Linked DNA regions of Mus musculus. The protein of the gene in region 2 purifies or fractionates together with the protein of the main gene of each other region. This does not show direct contact. Links are inferred from orthologs where the notes say so. Each region holds a gene or a part of one and is shown on either strand. Other genes may lie near its edges.

The links.
Region 1: the proteins of Med4 (region 2) and Cdk8 purify together in Homo sapiens (affinity purification with mass spectrometry; 9 studies listed by BioGRID and IntAct, counting the BioPlex papers as one, with this or other methods). This does not show direct contact. The link is inferred for Mus musculus from reciprocal best matches to the Homo sapiens genes MED4 and CDK8.
Region 3: the proteins of Med4 (region 2) and Ift20 purify together in Homo sapiens (affinity purification with mass spectrometry; 3 studies listed by BioGRID and IntAct, with this or other methods). This does not show direct contact. The link is inferred for Mus musculus from reciprocal best matches to the Homo sapiens genes MED4 and IFT20.
Region 4: the proteins of Med4 (region 2) and Med12l purify together in Homo sapiens (affinity purification with mass spectrometry; 3 studies listed by BioGRID and IntAct, with this or other methods). This does not show direct contact. The link is inferred for Mus musculus from reciprocal best matches to the Homo sapiens genes MED4 and MED12L.
Region 5: the proteins of Med4 (region 2) and Ccdc138 purify together in Homo sapiens (affinity purification with mass spectrometry; 3 studies listed by BioGRID and IntAct, with this or other methods). This does not show direct contact. The link is inferred for Mus musculus from reciprocal best matches to the Homo sapiens genes MED4 and CCDC138.
Region 6: the proteins of Med4 (region 2) and Polr2b purify together in Homo sapiens (affinity purification with mass spectrometry; 3 studies listed by BioGRID and IntAct, with this or other methods). This does not show direct contact. The link is inferred for Mus musculus from reciprocal best matches to the Homo sapiens genes MED4 and POLR2B.
Region 7: the proteins of Med4 (region 2) and Git1 purify together in Homo sapiens (affinity purification with mass spectrometry; 3 studies listed by BioGRID and IntAct, with this or other methods). This does not show direct contact. The link is inferred for Mus musculus from reciprocal best matches to the Homo sapiens genes MED4 and GIT1.

Annotation. Positions count from the first base shown.
Region 1 is NC_000071.6:146,229,776-146,234,049, reverse strand, and holds the start of Cdk8 (cyclin-dependent kinase 8), read right to left. Parts: upstream 2,801-4,274; 5' UTR 2,358-2,800; coding exon 2,230-2,357; intron 1-2,229.
Region 2 is NC_000080.6:73,516,047-73,519,045, reverse strand, and holds the end of Med4 (mediator of RNA polymerase II transcription subunit 4), read right to left. Parts: intron 2,411-2,999; coding exon 2,324-2,410; intron 1,840-2,323; coding exon 1,708-1,839; intron 1,153-1,707; coding exon 980-1,152; 3' UTR 501-979; downstream 1-500. UniProt on the Homo sapiens protein: Component of the Mediator complex, a coactivator involved in the regulated transcription of nearly all RNA polymerase II-dependent genes.
Region 3 is NC_000077.6:78,535,039-78,539,160, reverse strand, and holds the start of Ift20 (intraflagellar transport protein 20 homolog), read right to left. Parts: upstream 2,801-4,122; 5' UTR 2,585-2,800; intron 652-2,584; 5' UTR 423-651; intron 328-422; 5' UTR 326-327; coding exon 199-325; intron 1-198. UniProt on the Homo sapiens protein: Part of intraflagellar transport (IFT) particles involved in ciliary process assembly. May play a role in the trafficking of ciliary membrane proteins from the Golgi complex to the cilium.
Region 4 is NC_000069.6:59,254,978-59,258,477, forward strand, and holds part of Med12l (mediator of RNA polymerase II transcription subunit 12-like protein), read left to right. Parts: intron 1-840; coding exon 841-1,029; intron 1,030-2,064; coding exon 2,065-2,139; intron 2,140-2,251; coding exon 2,252-2,442; intron 2,443-3,204; coding exon 3,205-3,366; intron 3,367-3,500. UniProt on the Homo sapiens protein: May be a component of the Mediator complex, a coactivator involved in the regulated transcription of nearly all RNA polymerase II-dependent genes.
Region 5 is NC_000076.6:58,570,937-58,573,840, reverse strand, and holds part of Ccdc138 (coiled-coil domain-containing protein 138), read right to left. Parts: intron 253-2,904; coding exon 114-252; intron 1-113.
Region 6 is NC_000071.6:77,337,984-77,341,483, reverse strand, and holds part of Polr2b (DNA-directed RNA polymerase II subunit RPB2), read right to left. Parts: intron 2,164-3,500; coding exon 2,067-2,163; intron 1,110-2,066; coding exon 1,015-1,109; intron 1-1,014. UniProt on the Homo sapiens protein: Catalytic core component of RNA polymerase II (Pol II), a DNA-dependent RNA polymerase which synthesizes mRNA precursors and many functional non-coding RNAs using the four ribonucleoside triphosphates as substrates.
Region 7 is NC_000077.6:77,491,982-77,496,211, reverse strand, and holds the start of Git1 (ARF GTPase-activating protein GIT1), read right to left. Parts: upstream 2,801-4,230; 5' UTR 2,630-2,800; coding exon 2,578-2,629; intron 1-2,577. UniProt on the Homo sapiens protein: GTPase-activating protein for ADP ribosylation factor family members, including ARF1.

The DNA.
Region 1 (4,274 bases), on a different chromosome or scaffold from region 2:
ATGGATTTCGGAGTTCAAGGCCAGCCTGGTCTACAGAGTGAGTTCCAGGACAGCCAGGGCTACACAGAGAAACCCTGTCTCGAAAAACCCAAAAAAAGATGAAAACAGTCACAAATTGTATTATACCAAGTCTAAAAATGCTTAACATTATGCCTCACTGACACAGGTCATAAAGACAATGCAGCAGGTTACCAGCCAGGCCTTAGAAACAAGCCAAACTGAAGAGTACTCCCTGTGGAAAGCAAAACCTCCAATTCTAAAACTCTCTTGACATTTGATTCACTACAAAAATAATTTAGTTCATCACAATAAACAGAATCATTAAAGGTTGCTGGAAAACAAACCCAAAGGATTACAGCTTAAAAAGCAATCCCCCCAAATGCAAATGTTCATTTGCCATTGCCATAAATGACTAAGAAGTACACACTAACACCAGCTATTTTAAGCAATATAATTTCTTCTGAAATTATCCTTAGCCTAAATGAAAACCTGATCATCAAGATGTAAAAGGTGTTTAAAGTATCTCCCTCTATACACATTATATACTTTAAAAAAAAAATAGACCACAGTCCAACACATTTGGATAGTTTATTATCTTAAACTGGCAATTTCTGAAACTAGAATTGGCTCCTTTTACAAGAATAAAATATAAAAACCACTCGAATTTTTAAAAACAAATGACAGACTGGTCAAAATGTACTATAATGTCAAATGTCTTGGGAGTGAAGATCTTATGACCATGTCCCAAACTATGTAATACTGAAGGATGAAGTGCTTTAACCCTTTTGAAATTATGCAGCAAATTAATTTGGATGATTTCTTTAAATATAATCCACTAATAAAGTGTTGATAACACGAATCTAGTTGGACAAGAATTAACAAGGGCTCTGGATGCCCCGGCTTTATACATTCTGCTAAAAGGTGCTTCTAGAGCCACCGGGCACCCAGAACATCAAGTCTCCACTTTCTGCGCTTAGCTGCACGGTTTCACAGTTGCACAAAAGCACTGAAATTATCATAAAGTAGGAAGGCGTTCCAGTAAAGCGAAGAGAAGTGTGTAATAGACAGACACTTCCTTTTCCATTATCCAGACTCGGAAAGTATTTATAAATAAGCTCCCTCAAAAAGAACTCGCTCCAGCTTTAGCCGTCTCGTTTACAGTGCTAATGCAATTCTGAATATGTACTCCTGTGAAAATGAAAAAAGTCATTTCCCAAGCAGTCAAGTAGCAACTAGCCAAATAACAGACGCTCAAAGAAAGCTGTTTCTAATAAATACAAAAAATTATATAATAAGCTATGATAATCTTCCCAATAACTTCCTAGTGTCAAAGGCAGAGATAATATCTATTTGTACAAGAGGGAAATGGGAAATTATTAAATATTTTCTCCCAAACTAAGAAGGCCTTTCCCTTCTGGCGATGTCATAGCGCAATCATCTACTGATGAAAGAGAATGGAGCCCGTTCACTTCACTCAATCCATGAAGCAAAACTGAGTGTCACCAGCCATAGGTTTGATTTTTCTTTCTAGAAGAGGCTATTTAAAGCAAAAGGATTAAAGTTCACTGGCAGCTGATAGATTCTGCTTTAAGAGCTTGCACAACATAGCCCCTATCTGTCACTTGCTTTTTTTCCCCACACACCATCCACTCTGCACCAAATCCCCATTGTTCTATATAAAAACTCACAGCTAATGATACCTGAATAGCAACTGCTACATTTACATTACAGATGATCCTTCATGGAACTCTACAGACCCACATTTACTCGATGTCTTCTTTCTCCCATCAAATCCAAATTTGGCCACCAACTGATCACAACTGATAAGGGGAAAAGATCAGAGCTTCTCTTCCAGACTGATGGATATCACTCCAGAGCCAGATGAGTTAGTCCCCAAAAGGTTACCGGATAAATCAACCAAAGAAGAACAGATTTATTTAAACGGGCATCTTATAACCATCTTCTTTAAAAAAAAAGAAAACTATTCTGTACAGAAATTCACACAAAAAAAGAAAAAGCAAAAAAGGTACACACTGCCCACGAGACAGAAGGTCCGTCTCCCTCTTGCACGAAGGGTTTCTTGTGAGTCTGGATTCCTGGGACACCACTTCCTCCCCAAAGCAGGCTGGCCAGGACAGAGGCAGTCTTGGAGGAAGTGGGGACCCCGACATCCGAGCCGGGCACCTGCCTCCCAGCCTCGAGGACACCCGCAGCGACACCCACACTCACCCATCTTTCCTCTTCGCCTTGTAGACGTGCCCGTAAGTGCCTCGACCAACTTTGCAGCCCTCGTATTCAAACAGGTCCTCGACCCGCTCCCGCTCGCTGCTCAGCTTCACTTTAAAGTCATAGTCCATTGTCACAGCCTCCAAGGCCGGGGTGCTGGGGCGGGGGGCCGAGGGCCGCGGTGGGGACCGGGCCGCGCAGCAGCCGCAGCCCCCGAGCTACACCCGCCGGCCGCAGCACCAGCCCGCCTCACGAGGCGACGGCAGGAGGCCCCGCGCGGGCGCCGGGGACATCCAGGGGAGCGCCGGGCGGTCCCCGCGGGCGCGCGACAGCCGAGGGACGCGCTGGGGGCGGGGAGCAGCGTCCGCCCTTGTCCCCGCGCTCCCGGGGCGCCGGCTCGCGCGCGGTTGGCCGCGCGTGCTGCTGCGGGTGCGACGCGGGGCGGCCACGGCTGACTCTGCTCCTCGCCCACGCGCGTCCGCGCCTCACCTTCTCCCACACGCGCTCACGAACACTCAGGCTGCCATCCGCCCGGACAGACCAGCGACGCCACACAACAGCCGGTAGCTCCTCCGAGAGAGGAGGAGGAGAAGGAGGAGGAGGAGGAGGGCGAGGAGGAGGAGGAGGGAGAGAGAGGACGAGCGCGGAACACGGCAGCCGCTGTCGTAAAAACGTCGCGAAGCCTCGCGCTGCCTCCGCCCCACCTGTGAGCGACTCCGGAGCTGGCAGCCGTCTCTTCTGACGCCGGCAGGCGAAAGGGCCTCGCTCAGCCGCGGAGCGGAGCTGCTGACAGACTTACCACGTGGACTAACCCAGTCGCCAGTGCGGCCAGAAACTCCAAGGCTCAAGTGCACGGGTGGCTGCAGAAGCAGTCTTTACCACGACGCCGCGAATTCAGAACGTTGCATGATGGGATTGGTAGTCCGTCACGCAACGAGTTTCTGCTGCATGGAGATTATTTTTCCCAAAGCCGCATCTCTACAATCCAATTTACTTAGCCCATATAAACTTAGCAAAAGACACCTGTTAGGTCGTGGGGGATGGGGGGTGGGGGGCGGTTATTTTGTATTGAAGTCACTTCTGAACTCCAGGATTTAGAAAAGGGCAATTACTGCTCCCCACCCCCACCCCAAAGACTCCAGGTTTTTCCTTTCGTAGCCTCAACCTGTTTCTAAATACTACAATAAACTACGTGGTTGTATTTAAGATTTCTCTTCTTTCTTTGACATCTTTATACCACGGGGGGGGGGGGGGCGGTGGGGGGGGGAACTTAGTGAAGGGGACTGGGGAGATGGGTTAGAGTGCTAGAACGCTTGCCACGTGTTGTAATTTGATTTCTGTTGCTGTGATAAAACACCATGTCCACATATAACTTGGCGAGGGAAAGATTTATATCAACTTACAGGTAACAGTCTGCCACCAAAAAAGCCAAGACACCTGTTTAAAGAGGAAAAAAAAAAAGCTTTTAATCCACACATGTTTAAGTGTGCCTGTAATACTAAAGCAAGGGAGACAAAAAATAAATAAATAAATAAATAAATAAAATAAATAATAAAAAAGGCAGGATCTCTGCAGCAGGATGACCGGCTAGCCTTACTGAAATGGTATGCTCTCAAGGTTCCATGATAGACATCAACCTCTAGACTCCAGACGTATGCACTCATGCTTATACTTGCACACATCTGTGCATACACAAGAATGCTTATAGCCGGGCGTGGTGGCGCGCACCTTTAATCCCAGCACTTGGGAGGCAGAGGCAGGCAGGATTCTGAGTTTGAGGCGAGCCTGGTCTACAGAGTGAGTTCCACGACAGCCAGGGCTACACAGAGAAACCCTGTCACGGAAAACACAAACAAACAAACAAAATACGCTTATACACACAGGCAGATAAATTGGCAGAAATATCAAATAGGTCGTTGATAGTAAAGCAAGAATGTGTCTGCTATAGGCCTTACATGCCCTCTAATGACCCAGATTTGATTCCTAGCACCCGCATGGTGATGGCTCAGAATCCTCTGTAGCTCTAGTTCCAGGGGAGCTGACACACT
Region 2 (2,999 bases):
ACCTAGGTACCTTATACAAGCAGGGAGACCCAGTCCTGTAAAAGATGAGAAAAGTCACAAGGAGACAAGGTGATGGCATGAGATGGCCATCTATTCTAACTTTCCTTATCCTGTGTGTATGTGTCTGTGTAGTATGGGGTTGTAATAAATGTTTTCAGTTTCAACTTAATGATCTCAGAGACTTAATTGTGACTATGAGTTAAGATAGTCATTTTATTGTATATACTGTATCATATATACCAGAATCTTATTTTATTATAAAATACATCTGGATTTTTTTTCCCCAGACAGGGTTTCTCTGTACTCCTAGAACTTGCTTTGTAGACAAAGTTGGCCCCAAACTCAGATCTGCCTACCTACCTCTGCCTCCTGAGTGCTGGATTAAAGGCATGTGCCACCACTGCCCAGCTCAAATTCAACTGGATTTAAATGTTTCCTTCCTACACTGAAGGTGTACCTAAATTTTAAAAATATTTTTTAAAAAATTGAAAAAAATTAAATACAAACAAAACCAAGTTTATTTACACAAATTACAGTATTTACCACATATATATATTGAGTTGTTCAAGTGAGCACTTCTGAAGTATCACACAGCGCTCCGATGCCTGTTCTTATCTCTGTTACCCTGGTGGCTCAGCTCATTCTGTAGCTCAAGGCGGCCCGACACTCACAGCAATCCCTCAGCCTCCCAGGTGCTGGGACTATAGGTGTGAGCCACCACGTCTGGCTCAGTGCTCTTTCTAAGTATGCTCCATGAGTTGTGTGAGTTCCTCTTCAGTCTCATGCCAGGGCTGCTATGTACAACCAAACACTACAGTAATTCTGACTAATCCTCAAACATTGTGTAACAGATAGAAAACCAGGGGCTCGGGCTCTAGGAAGAAAACCCGCTGATTTTCATGGGCTCCTTAGGTCTGTGCTTTTCTTTCCCCCTTGACAGAACTCTGCCGCACTGGAGTCTGTGCATGCCACACCTTTCTCAGTCAGAGTCGCTACTGCTGCTCGAAGAGTCTGTTGACATAACCTCAACATCATCTTCATTTTCTTTGTTGTGCCCAGGAGGCTCCAACAGAAAGTCACTGCTGTGATTTGGTGGCAGCATGTTCACAGACATGTCATTTGACTGCCATGGGTACTGCGGAGCAAGGACATCTGGAGAAAAGAGGCACATGGGATTAGTCCTACTTGTGATCAGCCTACTCAAATCCCCTCCCTCTATGCAAGTACCTTAATTCTATCTACCCACCCACCTACCTTGTAGTACCAAGGATCTAACAAGGTTAGGGATTCGCAATGCTAAACACAAATAAGCAGATTCCCAAATCCACACTTTAACACAGTGTGGCCCATGGCTACAATGGGCTTCAGAAAGCACAGTCCCCACTATGTCCTCTCCTTAGGAAGGTTCTTCCACATTAAAACACAGCACCTACAAAATGTGCTTATTCTATTTGGGGGCATGCCTCTCAACTGCAAAAATGCTCTTCAGAGTGGTCACGACAGGGGAAGGCCAGGCCTGGGGAGGGTGCCAGGAAATAGATGCACATGAGGGACATAGGGGCTTAGGTCAGTGTCCTGTGCATCACTGCAGGGTCTTTGGATGACAAACTGGCAGGGAACCTGTGTAACAGATCTTGATGTCCACTACCAGACAGTGCCTCACGGGCACCTCTGTCTGCTTAAAAACACCCATCCAGTTGGCATTACCTGGCAGTCTACCTGCTGCAAGGGCATCTCCCGGGAGGTGACCATTCACACCACTGGTGGAAGGATTGTTCATCTGACCCAACAATCCACTTCTCATCTCTAAATCGGTTGGGTATGGCCTCCGAGGGTCTCCTAAAACAGTAAAGACAGCTTTTAACTCAGGCTTTCAAAAAGCATTTATATGTTCTTGAAGAATGAGCTGCCCTTAGTTCACACTAAAAGACGCAAGTGCTTTGTGAGCCTCAAGCCTGCAGTCCTGCCTCGGCCTCTTCAGTACCTGCCTTTGCAGTATATACTGCCACACACTGCCTGAAGCTACAGTGGAAATCCTTAAGCTGGGCACGGTGGCACGTACCTTTAAGGCAGAGTGAGGCAGAACTCTGACTTCTCTTCCCAGGCCAGCCTGGTCTACAAAATGAGTCCCCGGACAGCCAGGGCTACACAGTAAGGGTAGAAGGGTAGAAGAGGGTAACACCTGACATTCCTTCCAACACTGAAGAAAATGCCTTTGTTAGCAGATGTTACTCTAGATGAGTACATTCTACGTTAAATGATCTTATTTAGATACCTCAGTCCTTTCAAACCTGCATTCATCTGATGTAAGAAGCTCTGTTACCTGGAACCCAAGTCAGTGGAGCACAGACAGCATTGCTTGCACTAATCCTGTGCGCATATTTAATGATTTCTTCAGAGGAGATAGCACCTGAGTTGAGAAAATAGAACAGTTCAGATCATTAAACACAAGTTTAGAAGAGCATACATACACACACCATATTTAATTTCAAACTATCAGGAAATAGGATCATCTAAGCTGTCCATCTCCCAAACACCTGCACATACACAAAAACTGTTATAAATACATTTCTGAACCTTGGAACCAAGATACCCACCCAGCAAAGTCGGCTAACGTAAATTTAAGGCCAGCGTGATAATGCTCAGTCATCTCGATTACTAGCCGCCATCAAGTGCAGAGTCTTCTGAATGCCACAGTGAGGGACAGTAAACCAAGGGGAGCGCTTTTCATTCCAGCAGCATCCAAGCTGCTGACCCTACAGTCTGCAGCCTCTGTGTGACTCCCAAGGAAGAGGCTCTAGCAGATTGTGCGCCAGACAGTCATAGCTTTCCATTCTATAAATTTTAGACCTGTTTCAAAAAGCACTAAGGAGTTCTAACCACCCCTGAGCAATGGACTCAGCCTCCTCTCCTAGAGACTTGCTTCTGCTACAGAAGCCCACCCGTCTCTCAGAGAATATGAGCTGTTTTCCTGAATGTAACAATCAGAAAATAGACTC
Region 3 (4,122 bases), on a different chromosome or scaffold from region 2:
TTGCTTGGCACTAAATGTGGGACTCCATGGCAGTGTAAGAGGGCAAGCAGAGAAGGTTGGGTACACATGGGAACCCAGAGACCAGGCTCAATCCAGAGAGCACGCAACTTCATTCTGGTAGACCCAAGAACAATGGCCAAGGTCAGGTAAGGAAACTGCTCAAAGCAGAACAACACTGTGTCTCCAGATGGTACTCACTGTCCACAAAGTCCTTGCACTCCTCCTTGAGCTCCACAGTCTGCTGGGTGACCTCTGGGTCCAACACTCGGAGCTTGTTCAGTTCATCAAAATGCAGCCCTGCCTCGCCCAAGATGTCCTTGGCCATAGCTGCAGAGAAACCAGCAGCGACCTGAATTTCATCCCAGACACCACCCCAGCCCTCCTCATACACCCATCCCTCTGCCTCCAGCTCTCAGCCTCACCTGTTTCCCTTCCAGGAAGCCCTAGAGGTCTGCTTTGAAGGGGTGACAGTGGCAATCAGGAGGTATGTCATAGGAGCAAGGGTCAGGAAAGAGGAAAGTCCAGTTGCTTGTCACAGACATCGTTCATTCAACATACATTTCTTGAGTGCCTACTACATGCCGACACTGCTAGATGCTGGGCGTAAAGATGAATGCAACATGGTGCCTGCCCTGGAGCAGCACAGCTTAGCTGGAGGAAAACAGACACGTGAACCTGAAGGATTATATTGCATCAAGTGATTTTTACAGAAATATCACTAAGCAAGGAGAAAAGACAATTTCAGTTCACTTGGGTGTATCTGGCCTAAGCTGCGAGCGAGATAAAAGCATAGTCATAAATCCCTGTTTAAGGTCCCAAAAAGGCTTTTCAAATGCATGCCCTGAAATGAAAAACAAAACAAAACAAAAAGGATGAATTTTAAAATGAGAGTTAAAAGCTAGCTATGGTCATGCGTGACTCTAATTCTAGCAACTCACTGTGTTGCTAGAAGACTGACACACGTTTAGGACCAACCTGGGCTGCATACTGAGTTCCAGGCTATCCTGTGCTACACAAGCCCTTGTCTCAAAAAAACAAAAAACAAAAAAACAATTGCCTTCCTGTGTTGTTCTAGTTGGATAGTTTGAGTATTTAAGAGCTCCTAGGGACTAACTGGACCAGGTCCTATGGAAGAGTTCATATGACATGAGACTGCAAACACTTGTTTGAACTCCTACTGCCTTCTGAGTTAACATGCATTTATCAAAAACAAAAACCCTTATTGAATCCCAGCTCCAAGGACAGAGTGAACATAGTGTCTCTAGACAGACAGTAAGCAAATAAACACAAACTGTGATCAGGGTATGAGGAACAGCGCTCAGTGCTCTGTCAGGATTCTACAGGAGGACATAACTCAAGTAGGCAGAGAGGTCAACAAAAGCCTTCAGAAAAAACAATCTGGGACCTAAACACGTCCAGAAAATCTTCTAAGAGAAGGGAGAGGGACATTGTGGGCATAGGGAAAAGCATATGGGGGCGTCCTAAGGCTGGAAGATTTTGACACAAAGGGTCCTGGGATCAAAACAGCAAGAGGGAGCAAGGCTGGCAACCGGCTATAGCTGGATGAGTAAATGAACTTGGGTTTTGTTTTGTTTGTCGAGACAGGGTTTCTCTGTGTAGCCCTGGCTGTCCTGGAACTCACTTTTGTAGACCAGGCTGGCCTCGAACTCAGAAATCCACCTGCCTCTGCCTCCCAAGTGCTGGGATTAAAGGCATGCGCCACCACACCCAGCTGAACTTGGATTATTTTTTATAATGATAACCGCTAGCAGTGGATTTCGGCAGTGCTTATTGATCAGAGTTGGAAAGATCACTCACTGCCTTGGCCAAACAGAGGGAACAGGGAAGAGCAGAATAGAGGCGTCCTTTCCAAATTTCTCACTGTGAGCCAAGCATCTCTAAGCAGGCTGCCTGCAGGTAAGTGGCACTCTGATAATGTTTGCAGAATGAATGAATTCATGTGGAAACAGAAGGCTGTAACAGAAGAAAAGATTTGAAGCCGAACGGGAGTTCAGAGATCAGATGATGTCTGAATTGACAGAATTTAGTAATGCTTAATGCAGCACTTTGGAGAAAAGTGAAGAAAGGAGCCAAACACGATTGCCATGGATCTGGATTGGACCGAGAGTATGGCTGGAAAGGACAGTTTAAAGAGATGGGTAAGATAGATATGGTACATAGCGGGCTATCAGATCCCCAGCCCACCCCTAACTCCCACCACAAATATGCTCCAGGAACGTGGGATTGAGTTTCCTAAGCATGAAGGCTGTGCCTGGCTCTACGCTCCCTGGCTCTCCCAGGTCCGCAGGCACAACAAATAGTTGTAGCTGTGGAGTTTGGAGAAGGCGTAGACACAGGAAGAACTGGGCAAATGGCGCGGCTGTCTTTACTAAATTATACTCCTGCAATGTCCGAACCTCGGTTCACCGGTGACATCGAGGGAGCCAGGCTGAGCTGAGTGTAAACCCGATCCCTAAAAACTCCGAGGTAGGGAAACCGCCGCTTTCCACCCGGTCCAGCCAATCCTCGGCGCTGGGTCACGTCGGCCTCCTCCCGTCCCAAGTCCTCCACGTCCCCGACCTACCTGACGAGCCGCCTCGGCAGCGCTCTGCGGCCCTGACGACTGTCGGTAGAAGCTTCTCTCCGGCAACTGCAACCGGCTGCTGCCACGGAGACAAGATCTAGGAGCCACACGTCACCCCCGAGTCCAGAAGCACCAGCATCCGCCCACCCTGCGGTGCTTGCTGGGAAATAGATGCAACACGCGATAACTGCCCACTAGGCCCAGAAGCCTTTGCTCAGGGGGCGGGGACTACGACACGGGAAGTAGATTTGTTCCCGAACCCGGAAGTAGAAGGAAGTCAAACGTCAAGTTTTCGACCCACTGCTAGCTCGCGCGCTGTGCATGCCGGGTCTTGTAGTCTCTTTCCCGATCTGTAGGGTTGGGCTGTAACTCCGGAGTCGGCGGGCGCAGGATGTGAGCTCACAGCCGAGATTGCAGGCAGCCGCAGGCCAGAGGTGGCACCGAGTCCGCTTGCTACTTGACTGAGACTCGGAGAGGCGTCCCCGCGGACGGTGAGAGCCAGAGGTGCGGGTGCAGAGGGGAAGGACAGGCTCTGCTGAGTCCTGGGCAAAAGGCACGGGATGGCGCGCGGGGATGAAGTTCAGGTCTTTTCTGGGGATGGGAGGCACCACGGATCTCAGTTTTTCAGAAGAGGAGGGGTGTGGCGGGAGAGCAGCCTACACTGCAACGAGAGACATGGGATGTTTCTCCATTTCCACTGGAGAGCCTTTGGGTGAAACATAAGAGCCGCTTCCACGATTTCTGACCTTTCTTGCCAAAATCAGCCTTCCCACCTCGCCGTACCTCGTGTCCTTCCTTTAGAACCCCAAGTCTTTGAACTACCGTGATCGTTTGCGCTTTGTTCTGCTTGGCTTCGCATTAGGTTCCCATAGAGACACGTGTATGTTCCCCAGCCCCAGGATTACCCCTCTATCCACAGGCGAAGTCCTGAGGAAAGAGCCCTGAAACTATCAGTGGAAACTTCATCCTCTCAGAAATTTCTTTCTAGGGCGTCACCTGCCATTGGACTCTTGGACCTAATTGGTCTGGGTGGAATCTGGTCTGACGTCATCTAGGACTCAAAGTAGCTCTTAGGAGGAAAAGAATAGATTAGCTCCGGATTTGACTTCCTCAGTTGGCAAGCCTAGTCACTTGGGTTTCTTTGATTTGGCAGAACGTGTTTATGTGCTTCCTTGATTCTGGGGAAATGGGACTGCACACAAAGTATGTGAGGAACTTGCTAAAACTTGTTGAGGAGTTGATTTTTTTCCCGCTTTGAGGTAAGGCGGTCAGTCGCTCACCAGTCTAGCATTGTAGTGTTACTGTCAGACTCCCGGAGCTCGTTTCCTCCATGTTCCATCACTGAAAGCAATTAAGCCATCAAAAGGATATGCTACTTAATATAGCACCAATATAGACCTTCCTGAAAGCCCCCCACTCCCGACCATTCCAAGGACATACTGAAATCTCTTCAGGGTCAGTTTTAGTTTAGCAAGCTGATGTATATACTTAATTCTTGTTTGAGGACCAGTGTTGTGGGTTTTACCTGTAAAACATGA
Region 4 (3,500 bases), on a different chromosome or scaffold from region 2:
GTAAATACCCGGAGCTGAGCAGCTGACACAGTGTAAAGGGAGACTTACTTCATCTGAAACAGATTTGGGTTCAGATTGAGCTCTGATACTGATAGTTTCTTAATGCCACTTAATAAAAGAAAAAATGCTAAAGAAAGATGTTAGTGTCAAAAGAAGTAACCTTCTAAGTATTTATACACTTTACCTGTTTAGCAGAATATATCACATAAGAATTATGAAAGTTATATAAAGCATGAAATTCTTGTCCCTAAATATTAAGTCAAAGCAAACAAATAAACAAAAACCTGGTTACAAAATAGTACCTTAGAGTAAGTCCTTATTTTTTAAAAATCCCAAATTTTAACTCTGTCCCACAGATTTAAGTGGTTTCTGGTTTAACTCAAGCCCTCCCCTCCTTGGATTTTTTTTTAAAGATGTCAGGTGTTATAATTTTGTTTTGAAATTTTTCCATTAGCTGGCAATGTGGCTTATTTGATAAAGAGTGCTTGCTGAACATGCAGGGAGCTCTGGTAGGCAGGAAGACATGGCATTAAATTTAGGCCTGTTATCCCAGGACTGGACAGAGCAGAAGGATCAGTAGTTCAAGGTTATTCTTGACCACATAGTGACTTAGAGGCCGTCCTGCAATACCTGAGACCTTGTCTCAAAGAAAAATAGAACAATAACAAAAGAACCAGCATATATCTACATGCCAGCTTTTCTCCACCCATTTTTTTCATTAATTTCATTTCATTAGATTGTCTTTACTAGCCTTTTATCATTTTACCCTGAGAAATGAGAATAAAATCAACAGCCAGGTAGAATCATTGTGTGCCAGTCTAACTGCCGGCTTGTTTTTAGGAATGGGTGGGAGAACACTGCTTAAAAGAACCAGAACGACTGTGTACAGACAAAGAACTGATACTGGACCCCGTGCTTTCAAACATGCAAGCACAGAAATTGTTGCAGCTTATCTGCTATCCTCATGGCATTAAGGAGTGTACAGAGGGGGACAACCTGCAAAGACAGCACATTAAGCGCATTCTTCAGGTAAGCGGTCCATTCCAGGGATGCTGGTCAGGCCATCCATCACAATGTGATTCTTCAAAGAACTACTTTGTTACTGTTGTTGTTTCTGACCTTGATTTTTTTTCCATTTTTTATTAGGTATTTAGCTCATTTACATTTCCAATGCTATACCAAAAGTCCCCCATACCCACCCACCCCCAATCCCCTACCCACCCACTCCCCCTTTTTGGCCCTGGTGTTCCCCTGTACTGGGGCATATAAAGTTTGCATGTCCAATGGGCCTCTCTTTCCAGTGATGGCCGACTAGGCCATCTTTTGATACATATGCAGCTAGAGTCAAGAGCTCCGGGGTACTGGTTAGTTCATAATGTTGTTCCGCCTATAGGGTTGCAGATCCCTTTAGCTCCTTGGCTACTTTCTCTAGCTCCTCCATTGGGAGCCCTGTGATCCATCCATTGTTGGAAAGATCAGGAATTCAAGGCCCATACCTAAACATGATAAAAGCAATTTACAGCAAACCAGTAGCCAACATCAAAGTAAATGGAGAGAAGCTGGAAGCAATCCCACTAAAATCAGGGACTAGACAAGGCTGCCCACTTTCTCCTGACCTTGATTTTAATTCTGACTTTTGTTTTATTCTGTAATTTTCTTTACAGTGACATTGCCACTGCTGGCTACTCAGTAGATACAGTCAATAGCAAAGGGCATATATTGTATTTTAAGTCAGTGGTATATTTACTTGATACATAGTATTTATGATAGCTCAATTTTAAATGTGTTATTTAAGAGATTCATCATTTTGGAGTGAGGTTGGCTAATTGGTAAATGGATTCTGAGAGAAGCCATACTTGTCTGATTTCTACTTCCTGGCTTGTTGGTGAACGTATTTTGATGCTTGAATCTACTTTGTTGTGCATGTTCATTTTTATCAGGCATGGGATTGGAAGTCTTTAAGGCTTGTGAGTTTCCTTGCTGGGTATGAGTATTAATTACTGTAAGGCTGTGTTAGCATACATTCAGTATTCAAAATGTGACAATTCTTCGAATTTTCTCCAGAATCTTGAGCAGTGGACGTTGAGACAGTCCTGGCTGGAGCTCCAGCTCATGATCAAACAGTGCTTGAAGGACCCTGTGAGTATATATTGACAGCACACGTGTGAACTGAATAGAAAAGCAGAATGTCATTGGTGCTTGAAAATCAAGAAGTGTGTAGACAAGTTAGCTTTCTTTTTCCTGATACTAGAGCTCTGGTTCTGTGGCCGAAATGAATAATTTGCTGGACAATATCGCAAAGGCAACGATAGAAGTGTTCCAGCAATCTGCAGACCTAAATAATAATGCCTCCAATTCTGGCATGAGCCTCTTCAACCCAAACACTATTGGAAGTGTTGATCCAAGTAGCACAAGACAGAATGGAATAAAGACATTCTTAAGGTATTTATAGTTTTGTTGGGCTACCGTTGATATTTCATATGTCACAATAGCCTTGATTAGCATAATTCATTTTTTATTAAGCTTCAGGAAATGTAAGGGAAATAATAACTTACAAGTGACAGTTTCTGTTACTCAGCCAGGTAGGAGGGAAAAGTGGGGTGAGTGATGTCTTGGCACGTTACATTTTTTGTTGTAGGTCCAGGTACCTCAGTGACACAGATGGACTTAAGTTTGATGTGTGGTATCTCTGTCTTTGGGTCATTCACTAAACATAACATACTATCTATGTGTCTTTAATGATAGTTTTGTACAAATACAGTAATTTGTATTTCATCATGAAAGACAGATTGGTTTTCATGTCATCATTTTGGTAAAAGGTAAATAGGGGGTTTTAGAATTTAAAGATCGCTTATTCCTTAGCTTGAACACAATCCCATTGCATATCATCACCATGACTGAAACGTATAGTGTTCATAGAGAGAACATATGGTGTTTCATGGTCAGAAAGGCAGGATCCATGAGTCACTGAAAACAGTTTACAATGCAAAAAATGCCTTCCCAGAAGAGCACCTTTTACTCCTCAGCAGATGTGGGTATAAAGCGTAAGCAAATGCCTGGTCTTTAGCAAAAGGAGAAAGTGCAGACATGAAATGAGAACTCTAGTCTGTGCCTTGTGCACCGGTGTTTGACTGTGGCATCTGCATCGTCTGTGAGAGCAGAGGCAGCTGCGTTCTCGGGTGTAACGCCTGTTTCTGATTTTAGTTCCTCTGAACGCAGGGGTGTGTGGCTGGTGGCCCCCCTCATCGCCAGGCTGCCAACATCTGTGCAGGGAAGAGTGTTGAAAGCCGCTGGGGAAGAGCTGGAGAAGGGGCAGCACCTGGGTTCCTCTTCAAAGAAGGAAAGAGATAGGCAGAAGCAGAAAAGGTACGCTGGCAGGTGCCTCGCGTCAAGGCTGGCATCCGAAGGACCCGGAGGAAGCCTAGAAGCCTCCATCAAAGTCACATCGCAGCCAGCTCCACGGGGTGGGGCTTGTAGAACGGCCAACTCTCTGTTTAGCA
Region 5 (2,904 bases), on a different chromosome or scaffold from region 2:
AATCCTAATCAAATTAGAATCAAAACTGGCTTGAGATTGAGACTGAAGAAGCAGCCCCAATAATGATCACAATATAACTGTCAATTAAAAATACACACAAAGGGCTTCCTTACTTGATTTTGGAAAGCTTCTGTAGAATGATGCTGAGCTTTTCCAGGATGTGAAGATCAAGTTTCGGCGTTCGCAGCAGCACAGAACAAGTACGAAAAAACAAAGAGTTACTACAGGCTTCCAGGAATGGCTGCAGGGACTCTGCAAAACAAGTCACCATGCTTAATGTTAAGAAGTATAAAAAGGAAATTAAAAAAGCCAAACCAGAACCGTGTGAGTCATGCATCAACACTGGCTTGGACTGTCATGCTTTCATCCTTAAACATTAGGACAAAATTATCATTTGACAAGCAAAAGCAAACTCTTGTTGGGCGTCCCAAGGAGCAGGTTATTATCTAACACAAAGCATGCGTGAAAGAAAAGGAGAACATGTTCCTTCAATAAACTTCTAACTGGAAGCCTAGTCCAGAGGATTGTAAATAAGAAATTCTGTTGAAGTATAAATTATTTTTCTGTAAAACCCCAATAACAACTCTGTATTAGATAGGAAAGAACACTTTGAGCATGAGAGCTGATGAATGAGAGTTCTAACAGATTGAAAACCTAAGAATAAAAATGTTAAGGAATCACTGTAGAAGAACAGAGCAGCCAAACTTGAGGATCAAGGAAGTCAGGCCTGGGGAGGAGTAGAGCCTCCTTGCAGCTGATCCATGGTCTGGCACAGGAGTGCAAGACTGGAGGAAGTATCTGTGATTTGTAGGGACATAGGGAGGTTTGGGGGGTCCCAATTTCAGTCCTCTGGCTCTGAGGATCAGAATTGAAAGTAATTCTCGGGGACCATGAGACCTTAGCCCTACGAAAAGAATCACAGGCAACTAAGAATGTGGGTAAGGGGGATGGGGGAGTACGGGAGGGATGGGTGGGTGGGGGGGTCCAAGGAAGAGCACACCTGCTGCTTACCCTATACCAAATGAAAGCATACACATACCTTTAACATTCTACAGATTGAGCAGCTTGTATTCATGTATTTAGACATATGCGTGTGTGTGTGTGTGTGTGTGTGTGTGTGTGTGTGTGTTTACACACATATGTGTTTAACAATTAATGAAAAAAGAGGCGTCAAGTTTGAAAGAGAACAAAGAAGAACATATGGGAAGATTTGAAAGAGAAAAGGGAATAGTTCATGATGTAATTATATAATAATCTGAAAACAGAATAAGCAAAAACTTGAGAGTTCACGAAATAAAATGAATTTATCTGAAAAGTTAAAATAAAAATAAAAAACTAAAATAATCAAAACAAAAAAGAAATTACAAACTTAAAAGAGAGGAAATGAGAGATGACTTTGCTTATATTTGCCTTAAGAATGAAACCATTACTAAGGTCTTATAAATGAATTAGAAAAGATGTACCTATTATTTTTTAATGAGCACATCTAACCCAATTATGAGAGAATAAAATATACTCAATCTCATAATAGCCAGACATAGTGCCGCACGCCTTTAATCCCAGTACTCAGGAGGCAGAGGTAGGCAGATTTCTGAGTTGGAGGCCAGCCTGGTCTACAGAGTGAGTTCCAAGACAGCCAGGGCTATGCAGAGAAACCCTGTCTCAAAAAACAAAAACAAAACCAACCAAGCAAACAAAAATATGTAAAATAAAATAAAACGGCACAAGTCGCTTCCGTTCCACTCGAGCACCGGGGTGCCTTGCCCGACACCCGCAAGGGCCAACACAGGATTCCCCACGGGATCCTAAGACCTCTGGTGAGTGGAACACAACTTCTGCCAGGAGACAGGTTCGAACACCAGATATCTGGGCACCTTCCCTGCAAGAAGAGAGCTTGCCTGCAGAGAATACTCTGACCACTGAAACTAAGGAGAGAGCTAGCCTCCCAGGTCTGCTTATAGAGGCTAACAGAGTCACCTGAGGAATAAGCTCTAACCAGAGACAACTATAACAGCTAGCTTCAGAGATCACCAGATGGCGAAAGGCAAATGTAAGAATCCTACTAACAGAAATCAAGACCACTCACCATCATCAAAATGCAGCACTCCCACGCCACCTAGTCCTGGGCACCCCAACACAACCGAAAATCTAGACCCAGATTTAAAAACATTTCTCATGATGATGGTAGAGGACATCAAGTAGGACTTTCATAACTCACTTAAAGAAATACAGGAGAGCACTGCTAAAGAGTTACAGGTCCTTAAAGAAAAACAGGAAAACACAACCAAGCAGTTAGAAGTCCTTAAAGAAAAACAGGAAAACACATCCAAACAGGTGATGGACATGAACAAAACCGTACTAGAACTAAAAAGGGAAGTAGACACAATAAAGAAAACCCAAAGCGAGGCAACGCTGGAGATAGAAACCCTAGGAAAGAGATCTGGAAACACAGATGCGAGCATCAGCAACAGAATACAAGAAATGGAAGAGAGAATCTCAGGTGCAGAAGATTCCATAGAGAACATCGGCACAACAATCAAAGAAAATACAAAATGCAAAAGAATCCTAACTCAAAACATCCAGGAAATCCAGGACACAATGAGAAGACCAAACCTATGGATAATAGGAGTGCATGAGAATGAAGATTTTCAACTTAAAGGGCCAGCAAATATCTTCAACAAAATTATAGAAGAAAACTTCCCAAACAAAGAAAGAGATGCCCATGATCATACAAGAAGCCTACAGAACTCCAAATAGACTGGACCAGAAAAGAAATTCCTCCCGACACATAATAATCAGAACAACAAATGCACTAAATAAAGATAGAATATTAAAAGCAGTAAGGGAGAAAGGTCAAGTAACATATAAAGGCAGGCCTATCAGAACTACACCAGACTTTTCAAC
Region 6 (3,500 bases), on a different chromosome or scaffold from region 2:
ATTAGAATTCAAAGATCCACCTGCCTCAGCTTCCTAAGTGCTGAGACTAAAGGCACAGGCCACCACTGCCTGGCCAAGTTGTGCATCATAATTCCACTGACCACCCACTTACTGCTACATAGAACCAACCAATGGGAATGCAGTAAGGAAGAACTTAAGAAAAAAAAGGACACTATACCTTCACACAATACTGTTAGGAGTCCACTTCGCTAGGGTAAGAACTTTCTAAGTGGCCTGTGACAGTGACTAACAGGAGACAAGAACTGCTGAATATCCTTTCATTATCTTAAGATGTTGAGCAGTATTTTAGCTAATAAACTGTGCTGCTCTCACAGCGGTTTAGAGAAGACACTGAAGAACAAGCAAGCAGCAGAGTGAGAATGCAGCGGGACGTGTGGCCATGAGATAACACAGCCTCACTTCTTTCTTCCCCACCGACTAAGGAGAAGAGATCTGAAGCAAGAATGCCCTTAAGTCTGAGCTCTAAGAGCACCACAGGATACATACATACACACATACACACACACACACACGCACACGCACACGCACACGCTAGATAAGAGGAACAGCAGCACAGCCTGGCAACACTGCACAGGCCAGCACAGCAGTGAAAGGGGAACCCCACAGTTTGACGTTATTATGGTCTAACTCCCCCCAGAATAGCTGTAGTCATTTTGTTCATGCCTGCCAGCTATTTCATATTGTTGCTGTAACATGCCTACCAGTCACTGACACAAAAAAGTGACTTGGCTAAAGGACATGCTGACCACATACCCTGGTTTTGTCCTGTATGTTCTGAATATCCTGTATGAGGTCTTAAGAAATTCCACAATGCTTTACATAGGAGTCTTCAAATCAAAGGCCAATATGGACTGTTATGTCTGGCTTAAGTCAGAGCTGGTCACCCGGAGCTAGTCTTCCTGCGCCTGTGTATGAGCTCGCTGTGGCTTTCGTGCTGACACTGAAGAATGCTGCTAACAAGCCCTGACCCCAGCAGACATCGCTGTCTCTTACCCTGGCATGTCTCACGTGTAGGCTTCTCAAACACTTCTTCTTGATCAAATCCCTTTTTAGACTCTTGTTCTTTGTATGATCGGTAGAAAACAGACCTAAAAACACAGTTGCAAAGGTCATTTATATTTTCTTTCAGTAAAATGGCTTAGATTACAGCAATGGTGTTTGGCTTAACTGATATCTGAGAGACAATTTGAACCACAAAACAGGCACAAGGGTCACTATGTACTAGGGTCAAGGTTCAGTTTAAATGGATTTTACATGTAGCATTTGACTCACAACTGTAAACACTTGGCATCACACATGAGACCAGGGGGACCCAGGTAATAAGTCCAGCCTCCTACTGACAGAATTCCTCTCCTAGCAGCCCGAGCACGGCCTGCCTTCATCTGCTCAAGTATCCCCACTGAGGCGTTTTTATATGAAGTTATGATGTCCACACTTCAGTCCTGGTGCTGCTTTATAGAATTATATAAGGAGAAAAGTTTCCCCTCTAAATCCCCCGTGTTTGAAAGAACCTTCTTATGCTACTACATATTTAAGATTAATCTATTGTCAGTAAGAAAGGGGAATATAGGAAGCCAAGTCATGGTGCACATTTGTAATCCCAAAACCCAGAAGACTGGGATGAAGGACTGCTGTGAGTTCAAAGCCAACCTGGACTACACTGTAAGTTCAAAGCCAGCCTGGACTACACTGTAAGTTCAAGGCCAGCTTCAACTACATAGTGAAATTGTCTCTAAAAACAAACAAGAAAACAGATAAAACACACCATTATTTTACCAGCAGTTATTTCAGAGTTCTATTTTCTATTTCTTCCTTAGATGTTTCTATATTATCTAAATGCAATTACATATTTGCTTACAACAGAAAAACATTTAAAATATCACATCTGAAAACCCAGAGACACAAGACTCACCGCCAATAGCTGTATGACCACCAGCCAGGTCTGCTTTTGGATTAGGGCAGTCAAGCTTATTCTTTAAAAACTTTATGAAAAAAAATGCATTTCCACTATATCTGTGTTTCAACAAATATTACTATAAGCTGACCTGAAAAAGCCTCGATCCACAGCTGAACGATTCATGATAACAGAGTCTTCTTGATTATAGCCCGTGTAGGATGCAATGGCCACAATTGAGTTGATTCCTACAGTACATTCAAAAACAAACAGTAAAGGACCCTCTGGGAAGCAGGGAAACCTATCCTTTCATTGAAATCCATTTTCTTTCATCCTATTTGTCACAAACACTTGGATGTTTGTATCATGGAAACTGTTGCTGTCTCCTCCTCCCTGAACCTGTGTGTGAGGCAAATGCTCTGCTTGCTTAACCCTGAAACCATCACTCCCAGGGAAGCCATCCTTACTATCAGTACTCCTCCATGTAACATGGTCTATAACTACAGAGTGCTTCCCCTAACCCTAAATAAACAAGCTTTATTGTTCTCACGACTCTAAGGTAAGAACATACATACGCCTCCAGAGTGAATTAGCGACAAACTCAAGCCTCAGACCCTAGCCTCCTAATTTCTAATTTTAAATATGAAACCAACACCACCCTGCTGCTCTCTCCCCATGCCACCACAGTTGTGGCACCATCTTTCAGGCCACAGTTAGATCTTAGTAGCTGCTGCCCTAACTACTGTAATGGATAGGTGGCTAGGTGTGTGCCACAGGTCTACCACCTGACACTCGGGGAGGCAAGGGCAGGAGGACCATGTTAGCTCAGGAATATGAAAACAGCCTGGGCAACATAGGACCATCCCATCTTTAAACAGCACCAGGAAGGAGGAGGAGTGGGGAGAGGGAGGCAATGAAAGGGGAGGTGGGAGAGGGAGGGAACGAGAAAAAAAGAAGGTGAGCCCACACTATGGCATTTGCTGTACAAGTCTGGCCAACTAAGTCTGACCCCAGAACCTATATAAAATGGGAAGAACCAACTCCACAAAACTGTCCTATGATCTATATGTATGGCACAGCATCTGTGCACAGTAATAATAAACAATAAGAGATTGATTCATTGTAAGGAATTATGAAGCCCAAAGTTGTATTCCCAGCACTAACGAAGCGTGTAGGAAACTCAGCCTATGGGATATAGTGACCCAATCTTTTATCAAAGAAAAAAAAAAAGAGGAAAGAGGAGGAAGAAGAAGATTGATAACACATAATATAGTAAACTAAAGCACTAGAAAGTGTTCAAACTGAGGAAGACACTGGAAGACACAGATACCTCACAGTTCCATGAATCAGGATTAATATTGTGGAGATGGGTATCCTACCATGGGAAAGCTACCAACATAATCCCTAGTGCTATTCTGCACAGAGACAGAGAAAGCAATCTTATCATTCATTTGAAAGCACAAGAGACCCAGACAGCAAACGCAGTCCTGAGCATAAAAATACTGCCTAACTTCAAAGTATACTACAGGCCAAAGTAACAAAAACAGCAAAAAATCAGATATAGAGATCAATGGAATAAAACAGA
Region 7 (4,230 bases), on a different chromosome or scaffold from region 2:
CAGGTGAGTCAGAGTTCAAGGCCAGTCTGGTCTACAGAGTGAGTTTCTACAGCTAGGACCATATAGAAGAGACCTTGTCTTAAACTGCACACCCCCCCTCAAACAAAAGACCACTACCATATTTGTTCTTGTAAGAAGGCAAATGAGTCTGTACATTGCCCTGCAACATATTCCCCAGCTCTGGTGACTTACGGCCTGGGTATCTGAAGATCTTTCCTCCAGCCTATCAGAATGTAAGGCCCGATGTAAAGGTGGTGGGTTGGGAAGTGAACGTTTGTTAGCCAGGCCAGAGTTCTTGGGACCAAGGCAATGAGGAAGAGTAGGCAGAGGCAAAGTAAGGGGACAATCACCCTGTGATTGTGCACCCTGACTCCTGCCCTCTCCTGGATTCCCAAGGCAGGCAGGGGCACAGCACCTGGTAAGGTGACACAAGCTGCCACAGCAGCCACATTGTGTCCTTGCAACATAGTCACACCTGTCTCTGAGCACAGGCTCACCTCCTACCTCTATCACACTCCAAGTTAATAAACTACAAAACCACCATGACCCCACTCCATGATCTCACTCCATAGCCCTGGCTGGCCTGGGGATCTGCCTGCCTCTCTGTCTCTCAAGTGCTGGGTTTAAAGGCATGTGCTACCTACCATACCCAGACAATAACAGAGTTCTATCACAGTGACTCTGTGACTCTGGGCTATAATGGGATATATATGGACTATATTTTATCATATGCATGGGATATGAGAAGGTCAGGCATGCTTATGCTCTCTTGTCTGGGATGCTATAGGCCTAGATCAAGGATGCCATTGTCTGTCAGACCCAGTGTGGCACAGGGCACTCCTGACAAAGACCAACACTTGTACCTGGGGAATGGCTGCCACGTGGCAATCACTACACTACACACTAGGTGCTAAGGTGGGATAATGAGGAAGACTGTCAACGCTCTGCCCATCTGCTTAGTAATTTGCATTCTGCATCAGAGAGAGGAAAAGAAAAGAATCCTGAGGCAGGCCTGCCTCTGTCACATGAGGATGGGGGCTATGAGCTCAGTGGCCTAACATCTAACACACCCTGTTCCTCCCAGCACCGACTGGGTGTCCAGAGGCTGCAGCCAGCCAGTCACAGACTCTATCTGCTCCAGAACCAAGAATGTAGACTGGGAAATGCAAGGGTCCTCAAAATCCATTTCTGTTCCACCTGAGACCCAGAGTGAGCAAAGCATCATAGAATAAGCTGGAAACAAAGCTACTACCTGACCCTGGCTCCCCTGATGGGGCCTGCTAGGCTCCACAGACACACCGCTCATCCATTCAAGGCCAACCGGGGAAAGGGAGTCGTCATTTCCAGCTAACTAGGGGTATGGATGTCCATCTGTAAACGGATCTTCTAGGACCCTCCAAACCGTGACATATCCTAAGGAGGTCTCAGGGTCAGTCACCTACAAGGTGTCCCATGTTCATGACTCTGCAACTACCCACAACTCCCAGTACTCCAGTTTAGATCATGAGAATTACAGGACCATCATTCCTTGGGCTCACGGTCAGATCTTGGGATTTTAAGGGGTGACTACAAGTTATGGGCCTGCATATCAGCACTCCACACTCTCACCTAATCACATCTTCATTACCCAGAGTCCATAAGACCCCGAGACTGTATGGAGACACAGCTTCTTTTATAGAGGATGGGCAAAGGCCAGAACTTCCTGCCTCCAGCCAGCTGCTGAGTCCCATCAACGGCTGTGTCCTCCCAGAGAAGGGACCAGCCTGGTGAGTTGTTGCCCTCCCTTCACTTCCTCAGCAAGCCAAGGGGGCTTTCACAGCAGCTCAGACCGACTCACTCTGCTGGTTAGTAGGGAGGAAGCAGTGTGTAAGTCCAGTTCGCTCAGGAGTCAGCTGGACCAGGGGAGCATAAGCAACCTCACCGCTTTCTCCTATCCAATGAGCTAGAGACCAGGAGGGATCGGCGTCTAGACTGAACCAATACCTAGCACACCTTCTCCAACAGGCCTACCCGGAACAGGAAAAGCTGAGTCTAGATGTTCCCAGACACCAGCAGGCCTGGAGATGCTTCCGGGGAAGATGCCCATGCTTAGATTGTTCCTGAACACCGGGCCCTCTAAGCAGCCCCAGCCTTGGGAAGCAGGGGCGGGGAGTCTTAAGAGTAGCTGCCCCTGTCAGGTGCTCCCTAGGAGCTCGTATCCAGGCCCCTTGCCCTCCACCGCTCCGGCGGGCACGCGGGCCATGTGAGCAGCAGGTGCAAGACGCGGGGGTGGCAGGGATGACACAAACCATCCTAGCGCCCACCTCCCACAGCCTGCCGGCCTCCGCCACAGCCCTCCTGCCACACCAGGCTGGCGCTTCCGTCTGGATGCCGCGATGGAGGTGGGAGGCGGTTCCCTCCCGTTCACCGGCTCCAACGCACAGCGCCCCCCGCAGCCGGCCCTCCCGCCAAGGACGCCGCTCCGCAGTGGCCCCCGCCCCGCCCTCCGGCCCGGCACAGCGCTCCCGCCAGGCCTCGGCGCCCGCCCGGCGGCGGCCTGCGGCGCGGTCCCGCCCCCGACCCGATCCCGCCGCTTACCCGGAGCGCTGCAGTCCGCACACACCTCCGCTCGCGGCCCCTTCCGGGACATCCTCAGCGGCGACGCGGCCGCAGCCCTCTGGGCCAGCGTGGGGGGCGCGGGCGGCGGGCCCGGGCGGCGGCGGCGGCCCTGCGGCCCGGCCCGGCTCCCGCAAGGCCCCGGCGAGGCTCCGCGCGCGCGGCCAACCGTCCGCCCCCGGGGCTGGCCCGGAACCCGCCGTGCCCGCCCGCCCGCTCGCCCTCGGGCGCCCTCCGCCCCGCGCCGCCCCGCGCCGCCCCGCGCCGCCCCGCCGCCGCTCGCCGCTCTCCCCGCCCCCTGCGCGGCCCAGGCCGCTCCTGCAGGAAGCAGTGAAAGCCCTGCCCACCGGGGGAGGGGCGGCCCGCACCCCGCCCCGGCGCTCCGCTCAGCTCCGTGGCTGAGCCTCTCGGAGAAAGGAAGCCTGCGCGCAGGCGGGAGTGGACGGGGGTTCTTAAAGGAGCCGCGGCCCGCGCCCGCCTGGTCTGCAACCGAGACACACGCTAGCACTTTGACCTTCACTTTCCGATTGGGGAGTGGTCCAGGGGACGCTCGGCCCAAAAACCGAGAGACGGACGTGGTGGGGATCGGGGTGGACAGGAAGCATTCCCAGGCACAATGCTCCTAGCGGTCAGAGGCTGGGTTGGGGTGAGGTGTGTGTTCTGGTCCCCTGTGTCCAAGTCAGTGTGTCCAGGTGGGTCTGTGGCCATATCCCTGCGGTGTACACTCACTACCACCAATATGGACGGCCAGGTGCCCGAGAGGTCACTTAACTGTGACTCCCTCTCTGTGGGACTAAAAATACATCATTCTTGTTTCAAATAGGAAAGCAAAGAATCTGGGTGATTATTAAGAGTGTTGTGTGCACCAGTAATAACTTGCTATCTGTTTCGTGTACATCAACGATGTTTCCGGGCTGCCCGACGGGTGTGTATGTATCCTAAGCATATGCTTATAACAGGAGCCAATTTTTGTAAGGATTTTTTTTTTCTTGGACTTCTCATGGAGACGGGGGTGGGGGGAGCAAGGAACTAAAGTGCATGTTGCACGTGGGTGCACCCCACACTGAGCATGCTCCCCCATACACGTGTGACCCGTTTGTGCCCAGCCCCCACCCCTACAGCCGCAAAAGGGCTGTCAGAGAACTCAGCTTATGGAGAGGGCAAAAGCACACAACACCAGGTTGGGGGGGGGGGGGTGAGGGGCGGCGGCGCGCTCGTAGGGGAAGGGGCAGGTCAGCGGTGGCAGAGTTAAGGGAGATTCCTGGGTGTTAGGGATTCCTGCTCAGTAATAAAACGGAGGTTTGAGGGGAGTCCTTGGTTAGGGGTGTCTGAGTGGGTCTATTTCTCCCAGCAATGCCAGAGCAGCAGTGACTTGTGGGTGGGCAGGCTCCTTCCCTAGGGGGAGACAAGTAATGCTTATGAGTCACACCACCCAAAATACACGCAAAGTTCCATCGCCTTTTGCTGCAACCCAGATTGACAAGTTTGTTTGAAATTGTGATCCACAGGATATATTTATAATCTCACCTTAAAAAAAAATCTTGCAGACACCCCCCACCCCCAACCAGTAGCTCAGCAGGTGGGGCTTCTGCCAGCAAAGGGTGGTGGTCATGCCACACCATGCTGCACTCATAC